Linked DNA regions of Canis lupus familiaris. The protein of the gene in region 2 binds, or shares a complex with, the protein of the main gene of each other region. Links are inferred from orthologs where the notes say so. Each region holds a gene or a part of one and is shown on either strand. Other genes may lie near its edges.

Evidence for each region.
Region 1: the proteins of SYK (region 2) and TYROBP are in contact, whole or in part, in a crystal structure (PDB 7Q5W), measured with the Homo sapiens proteins. The link is inferred for Canis lupus familiaris from reciprocal best matches to the Homo sapiens genes SYK and TYROBP. Residues at the interface, in NP_001167638.1 of Homo sapiens: Arg22, Arg42, Asn46, His62, His63, Tyr64, Thr65, Ile76, Ala77, Gly78, Gly79, His92, Asp97, Gly98, Leu99, Arg175, Arg195, Arg197, Lys212, Leu214, His215, Tyr216, Arg217, Ile228, Pro229, Glu230, Gly231, Lys232, His243, Lys247; in NP_003323.1 of Homo sapiens: Pro90, Tyr91, Gln92, Glu93, Leu94, Gln95, Arg98, Ser99, Asp100, Val101, Tyr102, Ser103, Asp104, Leu105, Asn106.

Annotation. Positions count from the first base shown.
Region 1 is NC_049222.1:117,599,967-117,607,605, reverse strand, and holds TYROBP (TYRO protein tyrosine kinase-binding protein precursor), read right to left. Parts: upstream 4,286-7,639; 5' UTR 4,203-4,285; coding exon 4,142-4,202; intron 3,758-4,141; coding exon 3,731-3,757; intron 3,579-3,730; coding exon 3,444-3,578; intron 3,276-3,443; coding exon 3,229-3,275; intron 1,354-3,228; coding exon 1,288-1,353; 3' UTR 1,121-1,287; downstream 1-1,120. Other genes in the region: HCST (hematopoietic cell signal transducer), read left to right, coding at 1-9, 458-589, 820-860. UniProt on the Homo sapiens protein: Adapter protein which non-covalently associates with activating receptors found on the surface of a variety of immune cells to mediate signaling and cell activation following ligand binding by the receptors.
Region 2 is NC_049222.1:96,694,005-96,701,639, forward strand, and holds the start of SYK (tyrosine-protein kinase SYK), read right to left. Parts: upstream 4,707-7,635; 5' UTR 4,585-4,706; intron 4,549-4,584; exon of another isoform or gene 4,385-4,548; intron 4,232-4,384; exon of another isoform or gene 4,024-4,231; intron 1-4,023. UniProt on the Homo sapiens protein: Non-receptor tyrosine kinase which mediates signal transduction downstream of a variety of transmembrane receptors including classical immunoreceptors like the B-cell receptor (BCR).

The DNA of each region.
Region 1 (7,639 bases), about 21 Mb from region 2:
TGACCCCAGGTGAGAAATGAGCACGCCTTGCCCTCTGCCATGGCACTTCAGGTACTGCTTCCATCCCTACAGGGTGGCCTGAGGGTCCTGGAACAGCCCCAGTGGCTCTCTAGCTCACCAGCTCACCTCTCACCAAATCAGAGCCCCGAGGATCTGGGGTCCTCTCTGGGTCGCCATCTCACTGCCCACATCACCAGATTGAAGCCCCAGGGACTCGGCTACCCCCTAGCCTTCGTAGGGAGTCCCCGCTATGCCCAAAGCACCTCGTATGTCTCTCTGTGCTGGGGGCCCCCACCCACCTCCTCTTTCATCCCCCAAGTCACCCTTGGGGAATCTCAGACAGACACACACACACACACACCCGCCAGGGACTTCATCTGCTCCCAGTGTCCAAAGTGTAGCCCTGAGGGTCTGGAACCTTCCTCAACTGCCTTCTCCCCTGGGCCCCACCCTCCAGGTTCCTGTTCCGGATGTGAGCCTGTCTGTCTGCCCCTGCTGGCAGGCCTCATGGCCGCCCATGCGGTGGTGTCGCTGCTAATCATTGCAGCAGTGTTTGTGTGTGCTTGCCCACGCCACAGGCCCACCCAAGGTGAGGACAGAGACAGGGTAGGGCCTGGAGGGAGAAGTGTCCCTAGGGAAGGGGCCCCCAGGGAGGGGCCCCCCAAGGGAAGCCCTAGAGGAGATGCTGGGGAAACCCTGGGGGCGGTGACTGGAGGGGAACTCCAGAGGAAACCCCTGAGGCAGGGGGTCCCCAGGAAGGTGGAGATGTGGGTGGGTGGTAGGTGGTCAGGCCTCATGCTTTCTCTCCCCCACCTCCAGAACATGACAAAATCTACATCAACATGCCTGGCAGGGGCTGACCCCCGTGTAAGTGAGACCTTGGACTTCTGACCCTCTGCTTCCTGTGTTGTGTGTGGCAGCACAGAAACACATTCCCCACTTTGGGGTGAAATAAAGCCATTGAAAATACCTCTGGTTCTAATTCTTCCTCAAAGAACCCCAGGGTCCCCAAAGCCTCCCTCCCACTTATCTGTTTCTGGGTAAATGACCCCCCCCCCCCGCCCCAAGTCCCACATATCCAAGCCCCCCTCAGCTGAAAGATCTGGGATGACTCGACAGATCTTTTATGTGCCACGTTTATTTGGGGGCAGTGATGGAGAGAAATCTGACCTCTCAGAGAGGGCACTCTGTGGATCTTTATCTTGGTGGAAGTAGGAATAGGATGCAGGGTAGGTGTCAGGAATGAGTGGATCCAGGCATCAGGATGTTGACTGCCGTGGTTTAGGCTCATTTGTAATACGGCCTCTGTGTGTTGAGGTCACTATAGACATCTGACCTCTGACCTTGGAGCTCCTAATGGAGGGACACGGTGGGAGTCATTAGTGGATGAGGTCCACTGAATAAACTTAAAACAAAATTCAGCCTTCTCCCAGTGGCCTATAAGGCTCCTAGCAGCTTCTTCAACCTCGCAGCCACGGAAGAGATCTGGATTTTAATCAAGTACATTTAGTGTTTCCCTTTCTCCTCCACCTCATCATCATGCCCCAGCCTCAGGGCCTTTGCACATACTGTTCTCTCTGCCTGGAACCCTGGTTCCCTAGATATTCCCGTGGATGGTTCCTTCTCCCCCTTCAAGTCGCAGCTCATGTCACTTTCTCAGAGAAGCATTTATTGATTTTGTCATCACATTTCTCCCCCCCTCACCCACACCCTGCCCCCACTGTCGTCACTGTCATATCAGCTTTATTTCTTCATGGTACCTCCCCAAATTATCTCAACTGTTCATTTGTCTATCTCCCCAACTAGGATGTAAACTCTGTTGCAGTGTAGGTGCTCAATAAATCCCACCAAAGGTTGAGTAAATGAGAATCATGCTTTGCCCTAACATGTCACTGCCCCCAATAACCGAAAAGCTTCCTCATTTTCCTGGACCTCACAAGGCCAAACTCAAGATGCTTACACTTTACAAAGAGACTTTTTAATCCCCAGGTGAGACAAAGCAAAGTTGGCTGCAAGTAAGTAAGAGACTTCACAGAACATGGCTCATATTTGGCGGGGCAGGGAGGGGGGAAACCTATGGCCCCAAGAGGCAGCCCTCAAGCTGAATCCCTGAAATCCTACACGAATGACTGGCCTGGGTATACATCTTTATGGGAAGGGGGCTGTTTGGCTTCCCTTAGCTTCGCACAGGAGCCCATGACTCCCCAAAGTGTAGAAGGGCACTGACAGAGAGGCAAGAGATGGAAAGGTGCCTCTGTCTGCATGGTGGCATTTTTTTTTTTTATTTATGATAGTCACAGAGAGAGAGAGAGAGAGGCAGAGACATAGACAGAGGGAGAAGCAGGCTCCATGCACCGGGAGCCCAACGTGGGATTCGATCCCGGGTCTCCAGGATCGCGCCCCGGGCCAAAGGCAGGCGCCAAACCGCTGCGCCACCCAGGGATCCCTTTTTTTTTCTTTTTTAGAGAGAGAGAGAGAGCATGCACATGTGAGGATGGAGGCAAGAGGAGAATTTTTTTTTAAAAGATTTATTTATTTTGGAAAGAGAGAGAGCACAAGCAGGGGGAGAGGGGGAGGGGCAGAAGGAGAGGGAGAGAGAGAGTTCCAAGCAGACTCCCCACTGAGCAGGGAGCCAGACATTCCACAACCCTGAGACCACGACGTGAGCCAAAATCAAGAGCCAGATGCTTAATGGACTGAGCCACCCTAGGCACACCTGCATGGTAGTCCTTAAGAAGGGTTTCAAGATACTTGTACCACCCCTCGATCACATGCACAGTTTTGTAAATTTTTGTGTGAGTTTTTCTGAGGAGTCTCTAGCTTTCATCAGCTTCTCAAAGGGATACAGGATCCTTCCTTCCAAAAAGTCTAAAACTCCTCTCTTCAGAGTTACCGAATTGGGGCTGAAATCTGTTCTCTGCTCTTTTAAGAGCTCGTCCCAGAAATCATCCTGTCCCGAACACTTCAGTGCTTGCCTTCTGGCAAAGGCCTCTATGTGCCCTTGCAAACATAAAACCCCATGTTTTCTCACACATTGTAAGCTGAGCATAAGGCCATGATTGATCATTGAAAGCCGTTTTGGACAGATGCCCCGTTAATCTTTGAGGTTGGCAATGTTGCTCAGAAAGTGGCTTTAGGGTCTAGGTTCTAGAGGGACTGGGAAAGTATTTAAGACAGACACCTACAGGGTAGGAGGGACATGTGAGGAAGAGAAGCTGGTTTTCTCACCTGATAAGGCGACTCTGTCTCAGTGATGCGCTGTTTCCTGGTCACTGCTGGGGGATGGGGAGTAGAGCAGAGTGCAGAGACAGTTCAGGTGGTGAACTGGGACCATTTTGCTGATGCAAAATCAGCCCCTCCATCACCCACTTCGGATGGTTGTGACTTGGGAGCTTCCTCCTCCCTCAGGAAGTCCCAGGCTATCCCTCGCCAGCCCCACTCACCTTCCACAGACCCTCGTCCCCGAGGAAACATTCGGCCCAAGGAGTACACGGCCAAGGCAATGAGGAGGGTCAGCACCAGGTCCCCCAGCACGATCCCTGCCAGCACACCGGGACTCACCACGGGGCAGTTGCATCCTGAGAATGTGGCCCAAAGGTTTGGGGTGGTCAGTGGAAGTTGGGAATTGGGAGGAAGTGTCAGCAGGGGAAGGTTCAGAGAGATTGGGGAACAGATAGAGGTGGGGAGATCTTCGGGAGGTAGGGAGGGAGACTGCAGAGTCTAGGCCTACCGTCCTGTGCCTGGATAGGGCTGAAACCTGAGGGGAGAAAAAGAAGGTAAATTGAGTCATGGGGCTGTGACAGGAGGGTGGGCACAGAAGGTGGGGAGGGTGGATCCTGAGAGCTAGGAAATGAGTGGAATTTTGTGTCTGGTGGGACCTGTGGGCCAGCATCAAGGCTACTGGACTGTGCTATTTCTATCCCAACTTGTCCTATTGCGACACCCGGACAGTCCCTTCCCCCTTGCTTCTACCAGAGGCCAAATCTTGGGGGCTCTGGCTCTGGGAGACAGACATAACTTTTGAGGGACAGGGATCTGCTTTCCCCCACCTCCCTTTTGGTTCTCTTTCTATCCTGTACCCCGCTCTGCCCCAAGCTGAACCCAGGGACTCGGGAGGCAGCTGTAGAAGCCCCCAACTCACCACCCATGCTCAGAAGGAGAGGCAGGAACAGGAGCCTGTTGGAAGGTCCAAGGACCCCCATGACACAGGCGACGCTGCTGGACGCCAGAGTCCAGGGGCCGGTGGGATGTGGTGTAGCGTCCAACCAAGTGAAGGAGGAAGTCTGAGGTGGGCGGTGGCAGAAGGGAGGAGGGGACAATACAGGAGGAGGGACGGAGACAGATAATGCCAGGAAGAATCAGGCCGAGACACCGTGGGGGCCACGCTATAGCCTCTAAGGACTGGACGTAAAAAGAAAAAGGCTACATGCACCAATCCACCCCTGACCGGGGGTCAGCCATCAGTGCAACAGGACAGTCAGTGGCTATGACTGAAGCCAGCTTTTCCTCTTCCTGGCTTAAACAAGTCATTCAACCTCTCTGGGCCTCAGCTCCCTTACCTGTAAAATGGAAGAGTAAATTAGTACCTATTTTGCAGGGGCTTGTGAATTAATGTTTCCAGAACAGGGTCCAACACTCGTTAGCCTTTTATAAGTACCAGCTATAATTATTTGATAATCAGAACTTTGTGATATTTATAGGATATTGCAGAGAGCCATCGGGATATGGGTCCTAATAAGCTGCAGGCATTCTGTCCTACGGTGTTAACTCTTTCAACTCCCACACCCATCTGAGATGGTTGCTCTTATCATTGCCCAGGGGCACCGGGGTGGCTCAGTGGTTGAGCATCTGCCTTTGGCTCAGTGGTTGAGCAGTGGTTCTGGGATCAAGTTCCGCAGAACTCTGCCTCTGCCTGTGTCTCTGCCTCTCTCTGTGTCTCTCATGAATAAATAAACAAAGTCTTAAAAAAAAAAAAAAAGACACTTGGCAAGGTGACACAGCCAATAAAGGTGATAATGAAACCCAGGACCCAAGGACAGATATTTGATCCTTAGAGGGAAAGAAAAAAGAACCAAGATGAAAGATTGGGAAGGAGAAAGAGAGAGAAGGATAGACAGTGACGCTGATAAAACCCAGTACAGACACAGGGATCGGGGGTTTGGGGTGAGGCAAATGGGAGACAACGTGGTGACCACCAAATGAGGAAGTAGCTGGAAGTGAGGACAGAAGGAGGGCACCCAGGAGGAGACAGGGACCTCTAGTCGTGCCGCCGCCCCCCACTGCCAGCCTGAGCTGGGGCTGGCTAGGAGGAACCTGAGGTTAGGGTACTGGGGGATGGGCCAGTGGCAGGAAGCCCTCCTCCCCCATCCAGGCGTCACACTCCACAGCTACCAGGGCCTGGTCTTAGGGGAGAAAAGGGGAAACTGGATGCTGGTCATGGGACAGACTCTGAGTGGCGCTTGGTGGTGGGCGGATTTGGAAGCCAGAGGAGAGTCAGGGCCCATTCGGAGGTAGCACAGGCTGGTAACAGCCACCATCGCCCAGGCCTGGCCGAGTCCAGTTGCTAAAGAACCAACAACCCCTCCACTACCACCACCGGGTCTGCAGTGAGCACAGAGAGACCAGGCCCTGGAAGCCCCACTGGCAGCACACCAGGCCTCAAGGTGGCTGAAGCCGAGTGAGCCACGGGGCAGTCAGAGATCAGAGGAAGCTCTGAGGCTGGAGGGTCTTGATCTGACTCAGGTGCTGGGGGGGTAGGGAGCACACTGACACTGTGGGGGGGCAGGGAGCGGAGCAAGGGCCAGTTTATGTGAAGATTCTGTGAGGTCTATCAGAGTGATGTCTCTGTATATGCTCAGTGAATATGAATCACTACCCTCATCATTACTGTTATTGTTATTAGTACTAAAAGTCTCCAGTTCTGGGCTCACCTTGATAAAAATCCTCCCTCTATCCCTCAGACTCAGCCTCCCAATCTGGTCCTCCCGACGACTCCAGCCAGGCCTGAACTGTCCCCAAGTTCAGTCTCATAGCCGGCACACTGGTGCACCAACCAATCAGGGAGCTGCAACCAAACGGCTGGGTCTGAGACCTGGAGCCCCCCCCCCCTTTTAATTGCCATTGCCGTGATGTGAGGAAGTCTGAGGTATCCCAAGGGAATGCAGGTATCTGTGGGGGGGGGATAGAGGCTCTTTACCAACCAGAAATGAAGTATTTAAATATTTTAGCAACTGGTATGACTATACTGGTGCAGACCACAGAATGTTGGCCTGGCCTGGTCGGACTGGACCGTCTCTGGGCGGATTAGCCATTGGGTGAAAGAAGGCTGAGATGGAGGGCACCCAGCTGACTGGGAGCCACCCCTCACACAGCCCAGGCTCCAGGAAGTAGGGCTGCTTCACCCTCCCATGAGATCCGCAAAGTGTCTCAATCTCTCCTGGCCGCAGCCCAAGAGTTGGGCAAGGCCCCAGCTGACGTTGCCAGAAGGCAGGCAATGTGTTGCGCCTGTGACAAGCTTGTCTGTGGAAGCTCCAGCTCCTCCCTACTCTCCCTGCTTCTACTTCTGCCCCCTATAGTCCATCCTCCCCCCAGCAGCCAGAGGAGGTTCTTGGAAAAGCCAGAGAACCAATTTTGTAAATGGCCCCACGTTTTGAACGGATGCGTCACAAAAGAGACCTGAGTGGCCAACAAGCGTGTGAAAAGGCACTCAACATCATCAGCCATTAGGGAAATATGGATTTAAACCACAATGAAATACCACTACACACCCACTGGAATGACTGTCTTAAAAAGACTGACCATCTCAGGTGTCAGCAGCGAGGTGGAGCGATTGGAAATCTCACACTGCCGGCAGAAATGAAGAATAGAGCCAACACGTTGGGAAAGAGTTGGGTAGTTTCTTAGAAAGGTAAATACTCACCGACGCAGAGATCCAGCAGCTCCACAGAACAGACATCCTGACCAAGAGAAATAAAAGCATGTATTAACATAAAGACCTGCCCATCTTTCTGCCCTCCCCACCTCCCCCTCTTTCCCTCGCTTCCCTTACTCTAGCTACACTGGCCGTCTTGCTGCTTCTTGTTTAAGTCAAGTTCATTCTCACCCCAGGACCTTTATACCTGCCGTTCCCCCTGCCTATGATGCTTTCCCCCAAAGTCCATGTAGAACTGGACCTTTCCCATCCTCCAGATCTCAGCTCAAATGTCACACCCTCATGGAGGCCTCTCCTGACCACCATTGCTCAAGTCGCCTCCCACCACCAGTTTCATTTTCTTCCTACATTTATCATACCTGAAATCCTCTGAATTGTGTGTTCCCATTTATACTGTCCGCTACTTCCTCTAGAATGGAAACTCCATGAGAACAGGAGCCTTTCTGCCTTGTTCACTGTCGTATCCCCAGCACATATAGTAGAGGCTCAGTAAATACTCTTTCAATATTGGACTAAACGGCCACCAGTAACAGGTTGCATTAAGCATGGCTCTTCATCTCTGCAGAGGTCTAGGGGTATCCCAGACATGGCCACCATTTCTTCTTGAATTAATCACTTGGCCGATAAGAATGCTAGTGTCCCCAAGTATCCCCCTGCTCCTTCTTTCAAGAGGTTTTTAGCAGGGCATCTGCCCACCAAACCAAAGAC
Region 2 (7,635 bases):
AATGGCTCAACTGCACGTGAATGCGGTTGGTGAGCGGTATGTGAAGACGCCACAGGGTGGAGCAGAGGTCTGACAGGCACTTTGCAAACAATGTGGACAGTCAGCCGTCTCCCCGGGACAGGACAGGTTTCCCTCATGAACGTGTGTGTAGTGAAGACCAGAGCAGTGATCAGACTCCAGTGGGGAGGTTAGTTTTGTGTCGCAGAGCTGGGGAGACCATTGTCGCAGGCAGAGAGTCACCAAGAAGACACAAAAGTAAGAGTTTACCCGGGAAAAGTGACAGAGGGCTCCAGGAAACGCACTGAAACTATATTGCACACGTTGCCTTCGCAGTGACTACGATCACCATAAACACCAAATGGGCTTCTCATCCCCGGGGGTTACAGCAGGACTGTGGTGGGTGGAGGCGGTGGCCTGGCACTGCCACCGGCTCCCTTCTCACAGCAGGAAGTTGACAGACACTGTCTAAAACCGATACATCAAAAACAAGAACAAATGAGCCTATCATCAGGAAATAAGGTGGAGAATTCTAGAAGAAATAGCTATAAGGGTCAAAAGATCACTTTGGGGAACAGCTGTAGAGGGTGGGAAGGTATTGGCATAAATTAGAATTTCGCAAAAGTAAAATTTAACTCTGGCCACAGCAAAACATCCCCATGACAAGTCAGCAGAAACAGTCTTTTTCTTTTTAAGATTTTATTTCTTTATTCATGAGACATACACAGAGAGAGAGGTGGAGACACAGGCAGAGGGAGAAGCAGGCTCCATGCGGGGAGCCCGATGTGGGACTCGATCCCAGGACCTTGGGATCATGACCTGAGCTGAAGGTGGGTGCTCAACCACTGAGCCACCCAGGCATCCCAGAAACAGCCCACCCTAAGAAATTATCAGACTGACCAAATTGGAATGATGATTTATCAATTAAGGCAAACAACTGTAGTGGGAAAGCAGATGGTCACATGCTGGAAATTCCAAAGCTTTCTGTAGCCACACAGAGCATAGATAAACAGGCCATATCTAAGTTGTGGCTTTTCCCAAAACTGGGCCCTCAGCCATCCTTCCTCACTCCCCCCGACTCATCGTCCTCACCGTCCCTGGGCCTGCGCCTCCATTACCCTGCCGCTGGCCTTGTGACCCTCCTGCCAGCTCAGCCTGCACTGGGATCAACGCCTCCCATACCGTGGGCCAATCGGGGAGAAGCCCAGAACCCTCTGGCCCTGGGCCCCCTACAGTGCTCCAGCACAGCCTTGGGAGGTGGTGACCCTTCCAGGGCCCCTCAGCTCCAGGGTCCAAGCACCCCCTGTGTCAGAGGGAGGCACCCCGGGACAGGGGATACTACTCACCAGATACCAGCCATCATAAAAGCTGTCAGGGCCCCCTCTCCTGAGTAATCAGGGTGTTAACTGATACTCCCTCAATACTCACTTCCTCCTCCTACCATCAGCCTCTGGCAGCCTCCAAAAAACATTTCTGGTGGTTTCCAGAAATGGACAGATGCAGAGCGAGCCACTTCTGATTCGTTAGCCCTAATACTCTTCCCTGGACTGGTCTTGTTGGCCTCAACTAGATGTGACTGCACTTACGATGCTAATTCAACTTTTCAAGATCCAAAGGGCAAAACTTAACATAATTCATTTATAAAGACAAACAGGTTTCAAAGAATGCAAGCTAATTTGTTTTTTTGTCAGATGAAACTATAAGCTCATAGGAAACGTGCCTGCTAATGGAACACCAGAATGAATGAATGAACTTCTCCTTTCAAATCCGCTCTGTCTCCTTGTGTACTCATCTTTGCCTAGTCAAAAGCAAAACAAAAACCTGTTTTTTTTCCAAGTGAAAAAGAACCAACTTATTGAAACGCAAGGTGGAAGAGCAAGAGATGAGACACAGTTAATTCAGACAATTTAATTCCAGGCTCTTCTAAGGACTTTGCCTTTTGATTTCAGTTGCTTTAAAAGAAAAAAAAAAAAAAAAAGTTCAGTGCATGAACATTAAAAAAAGTCCTCTCCCAAGGGCTAATTTTTTCTCTACTCATTTGCACCCAAAATGATCCAGCAATGGAAGATGTTAAAACTTTGCAAATGGGGAGCAAGGGGGCAGGGTGAGGATAAAGGAAGAATTAGCTCGGATTGTAAAAAAGTGCTCTTCCATTCCTCAGGAACAGATAACACAGAGACGGCGAGCCTGCCGTGGGGGGAACAGGAAATACTACTTCTTCCAAAAACATACTGTGGGCACAAAGGATGGCAGTAACCTCCCTGCATTCTTGCTCTAAAATCATCCATCTTGGGGCCCCTGGTGGCTCAGGGGTGGAGCGTCTGCCTTTGGCCCAGGGCATGACCCTGGGGTCCTGGGATGGAGTCCCACATGCCCCTCTCTCTGTCTCTGGTGAATAAATAAATAAAATCTTAAAAAATAACATCATTTATTCTCACTTGGATCTGTATTGTGATGGTTATCATTGAAATTTCAATGAGGTCTTGCTCCCTGAAAAGGGGCAATTTGCCCATTTAATCACAGAAGGTATAGTTACTGGACAGGAGAAATGCGATTTATTTCCAAAAGTAAACAAAAGGCCCTAGGAGTCTCATATGGTTCCAAACGTCCTGATGCGTAAAACCCCTGAGAAATAAGGTTTTGAGGTAAGTTTTAGGGAACTCACTCAGTGACATCTGCCCTAAACGGACACACAGCTATTTATAGTGTGTTTATTCCACTAAATGCGACAAGTCACAGTGTCCGTGCAGACATATGAACGGGTGGGAGTATGGGAGGCCGCCCAGCATGTACCAGAGTCTCTAATACACGGCGACAGTGTGGACACGTACCTCTCTAAATTCTGAGAAATGTTTTTCTCAATGCTGAAATTTAGCTTCCCAATTTGAACTCTAAATTGTGAAAAATCCAGGATTCCAAAACATATCTTAGCACATGGGTTTTGGAAAATAATTGTGGACGTGCTATGTGCTGCATAAAGTAGATACTGTACTAGGGAGTCTTTGGTTTAAAAGCAGAGAAATTTTTTTAAAAAGGAAAATAAATAAAACTGAGAGGTCAGACTTGCGCTTAGGATATTAAATTAAATATGAGCCTAAAGAAGGTGAAAGTGAGTTATTTCTTAAATACAGATCTAACAATAAGATTATTTGTCAAGTTCTTCCCTTAGCAGAGGTTAAGACCTAAAGTATACGCCTCATTTTTTTATCCTAGCTTAAAACATTAAAAACATTCTAGTTACTAAGCCTATTTATAAAATCCTACCTATGAAAGCGCTCCACATACAGAGACTAGAAATCCATTTCTATTTTACTACAAAATCTCCTCTAAACGTAACAAAACAAAAGTATAATGGAGATGGAACAAAATGACTTGATAAAAAATTTTAATGGAGAAGATTTCTCGTTTAAAACCCCTAGTACTCTACACCTTTCTAAAGGTGTTAGCTCAAGGATAAATATATTCATGCACAATAGGGACTTTTTTTTGGGGGGGCGGGGGGGGGGGGAGAGAGCAGATCAATGAATTTAGTTCCGTGAAATTAAAATGCTGCCTTCCTAGTGGCAATGAATTTCTTCTTACTGAAAAAAAAAAAAAAAAAAGGCTTCAGATGCTAGAATCATTTCCATTCCTTCCAAGAATTCCAAGTCATCACAAGATGAACTCTTTTTTAACTAGAAAATTCCGATGTGGGGCATCTCCAACCTTTAAACTACCCACTGACAGCGCTTCCAGGGCTTAAGGAAAGAACACCTGCTGCTCAAGGGTTGCTAGGGATCAACGGAATCTTTGGTCATTCAGTCAAACGGATGAAAATAACCTGCAACACTGTCTCCAACATCAAAAGCCTCAAACCGTGACTTCTCCAGACTAGGTCTTCCTAGTTCTGGAACATTCGAATAAACCCAAAGCTGAATCGCCTCTGTACAGCTAGGTAGGCGGGCTGATGCTTTGGGAGCTATGCTGCCCAACTCCAACTGACCCGGCATCGGCATCGCACCACACTGGGCTCTCGGCGGCACTTACTGTCACTGTACCGTGAAAACGTGTCTCAACGAGCGATCCTGCTCCATTTTAGGGGTGGCCCGGGAAGTTTCTTGTTTCTACACAACTGCTCTTTCTGTAGGAAAAGGCGTGCAAGCGCTGAACCCTCCGCAGGCCCAGGAGCACTGGCACCTGGAGTCACCCACATCAACAAGGTGGAATTTCCCAGGGCAGCGATAAAATGGCCAAAGGACAAGGTGAGCCTCCTGCGCCCCGGATCCGCGCCCGCCGCCGGCACCTGCGGCTTCCGCACCCCCCCCCCGCCCGCCCCACTGGCGCCCCGCCCCGCGTGCCCGGCAGGCCCGACCCCACCGACCCCGGGAGTGCTCGGTGGAGGACCTACCCGTCCTGATTCCAGAGACTCGATCAGCCTGTCCCTCCCGAGGCCCTGAGCGCACCTGCCCCGCCGAGGGCCCCGCACAGACCCGGACTCGGGGCGGGCAGGGGGGCGACAGGCGCGTCGCCCCGCCCGCCTTCCCCTGCTCCCGGCTGCCCGGGGCTCCGCGTCCCGGCTGCCCGGCCCAGGGCGCGCGCCACACCTACCTGTGCCAGGTGAGCCGAGGGCGGGGCGCGGGGCGCGGGGCGCGGGCGCGGACGGCTCGGGGCGCAGCACGGGACCGCCCGCTGCTCCTCGCTCCTCCCGCCGCTGGAGTCTTCTCAGCCGGCCAGCGCGAGGCGCTTCCTCATTTTGGGCAACTTCCTTAACGCGCCGGGCAGGCCCCGCACTTCCTCCCGGCCGCCGCGCCCCAGCGCCGGGGGCCCGCCCCCCCCCGCCTCTCCCCGCCCGCCCGTGCGCCCCAGCGACCCCGCGCCCGCCCCAGTGCCCCCAGCGCCCCCGCGCCCCGGACCCGCCTACCCCGCCCGCCGGTGCGCCCCAGTGACCCCGCGCCCGCCCGAGTGCCCCCAGCGCCCCCGCGCCCGGGGCCCACCCACCCGCCCGCCAGCCTGCGGTGCGCCCCCGTGCCCCTGTGCTCCCAGCGCCCCGGGCCCACCCGGAGTGCCTGCAGGGACCCCACGCCGTGCCTGCTGCCCGTGCGCCCAGGACAGGCTCCGAGCGCCCCTAGCCCCCTGCGCCCTGCCTCCCAGGCCCAGAAGGCCCACCCCAGGGGTCTTCATCCACACACAAGGGGCCCTGACAGCAACAGGAACCTCTGGCCGCCTTGCCAACCTGCCACCTGGTCCTTTGAACCACTGGCAGCGCTAAAAGGGCGCGCCCATCGCGCAGGGCCCTGGCGTGGGAAGAGACTCTTGCTCACTGGGGGGCGGACTCCCTCCTGGTCACCAACCCAAGCCGCTCCTGCTGACCTGTGACCCCAAGGCCCTCTGCACCCTGCCTTTAGAGTTAGGCTCTAGGTGCACATCGGACTTCACTGCGCTCTGCTGGAAGGGCCCGGCTTGTCCCACGCCGTGTTTTCTGAGGGCTCTGGTGATTTCAAGGTTCTTGACAGTGAGCTCAACTTGCTCCCTTCAGCCCACAACCGGTTCTTATGCCTGGACCTAAATAAATTAAGTTTAATATTTACCGTAGTATTGGGGCACCTGGGTGGCTCAGTGTGGAATGTCTGCCTTTGGCTCAGGTCCTGATCCCGTATTCCTGGGATCATGTCCCCCGGGGAGCCTGCTTCTCCCTCTCTTTGCCTGTGTCTCTGCCTCTCTCATGAATAAATAAATAACATCTTTAAAAAATATATTTACTGTAGTTTTTTTTTAAATTTATTGTAGTTCTAAAAAATATTTCTAAAATGCCCTATCCCCTCTCCTCGTTTTTCTATCAGGGAGCCCTCTTTAAAATTTTCCCATAAAACAGTGCCCAGATCCTCAGATTCTTGGTAACAGGTAGCAGTAAGTGTTTTAAAAGGCTGTGCCCTGAGCCCCAAAATTCAAAGTGAAATATATAGCGTGTTAGATTATAATTGCCATGGAGAAATACGAGGTGATAGGGAGTATGGACACTCATCGCGGCCCCTCAGTCTTTCCCACCTGGACATTCTCTTCTATTCATTTTTAAGTCAAGTGAGGGATTTTTATTATGGCTCTATTTGATAAGCATTGGACTTAAATTTTGCTTCAAACAGCCAATGAAATAGCCAGCATTCTCTAAACAGAAGCTGCAAAACATGTACACAGGAGGTTTCCAGAGTGGGTAATATCATTGGAAATGGACAAATGGGATTTGTTTTGAATCTGCATGAGAAGAGCAAACCTGGTGTTAATGAAGATGATGAAGATGACGTGTTTCCCTAGGGGCAGCCAATGGCGATGAGGTTCTAGATCAGTCCCTACACAATGCCTTCCTGCACTGCTGTGTGGTCCCTCTCACCTTTGGGGCATTTAAGTGACTGAGCATGCTTATGATGATTTTGGAAAAAAAAACATAATGTTAAAGTCATTACACAAATACCTAGAAAAAAAAAACTTTCAAAAAGACAACTTCAAAATAAAAATTAAAAAAAAAAAAAGTCAATACATTTCTGCCAGCGTTTCTTCCTTCTCCCAATGGTCTTCTCCCTCCAATGGCTTTGCTGTTCACCCTTCACTCAGTAAATCTTAGCTGTCATTATTGTCTGAGTCCTGGAGCCCCCCCCCCCCCATGAAACCCTGTACTCTGATGGTCTCTGGGACTCCCCACACTGCTACTTTTTAAAGTCTCCTGTTCCTTGCAGATTCTTTTTTTTTTTTTCTTTAAGAATAGTAACTCTAGGGGTGCCTGGGTGCCTCAGTGGTGAAGCGTCTGCCTTCGGCCCACGGTGTGATCTTGGAGTCCCAGGATCAAGTCCCACATCGGGCTCCCCACAGGGAGCCTGCTTATCCCCCTGCCTGTGTCTCTGCCTCTCTCCCTGTGTCTCTCATGAATAAATAAAGAAAATCTTAAAAAAAAAAAAAAAAGAACAGTAACTCTATTTCCTGGGGTTGCTGTGTTCATTGACATCTGAAACCTCCTGTCTGTTGGCCTTGTTTATTTCTACTGGTTCTGGCTCATGGTGTCAAACTTCCTTGTAAACTTGGCTGCACTCACTGTGAGCCTCTCGCCACTTCGGAAAAACCATTCATGGACCTTCATTGAGGTCTAGGAAGAGACGTTTTCTTTCGGAGACAATTTGCCTTTGCTTTGGTCAGAAGCCTAGGGTAAAACTAATGTTTGGACAATTAAAAGTAAATTCTCAGCTTATGGTTTCTTTGGATCACCTAGGTGATAGGAATTTGGGCTGGAAATTTGGGCACAATTTTGGTCAACTTGTGGTTGCATGGTTGCAGTCTTTCAAGGATTCATCTCTTCCATTCCCTCTCTGTGCTTCGTCTCATTTTCCTTGTATCTTGGAGTCTGTGTTTCTTGTGTTCCGTGTCTTCCTCTTCCTTGGGAGTTCACTGCAACACTTTGGAGGAACACGCTCTCCCTTTTCCTGAAACTTTGAAAAGTTTCATATCTATCCAGAAGGTTCTACCCTCAAGTTCAATGGTTTGGATGGTAAAGAATTCTAGCTCAGAAACCATTTCTCTTTACAATTTTTAAGTCAAGATTCTCTGGGTTTCTTGCTTTAAGTGTTGATGTCAAGAAATCCAAACCATTCTGATTCTTTGTCTTTTCATTCTGAT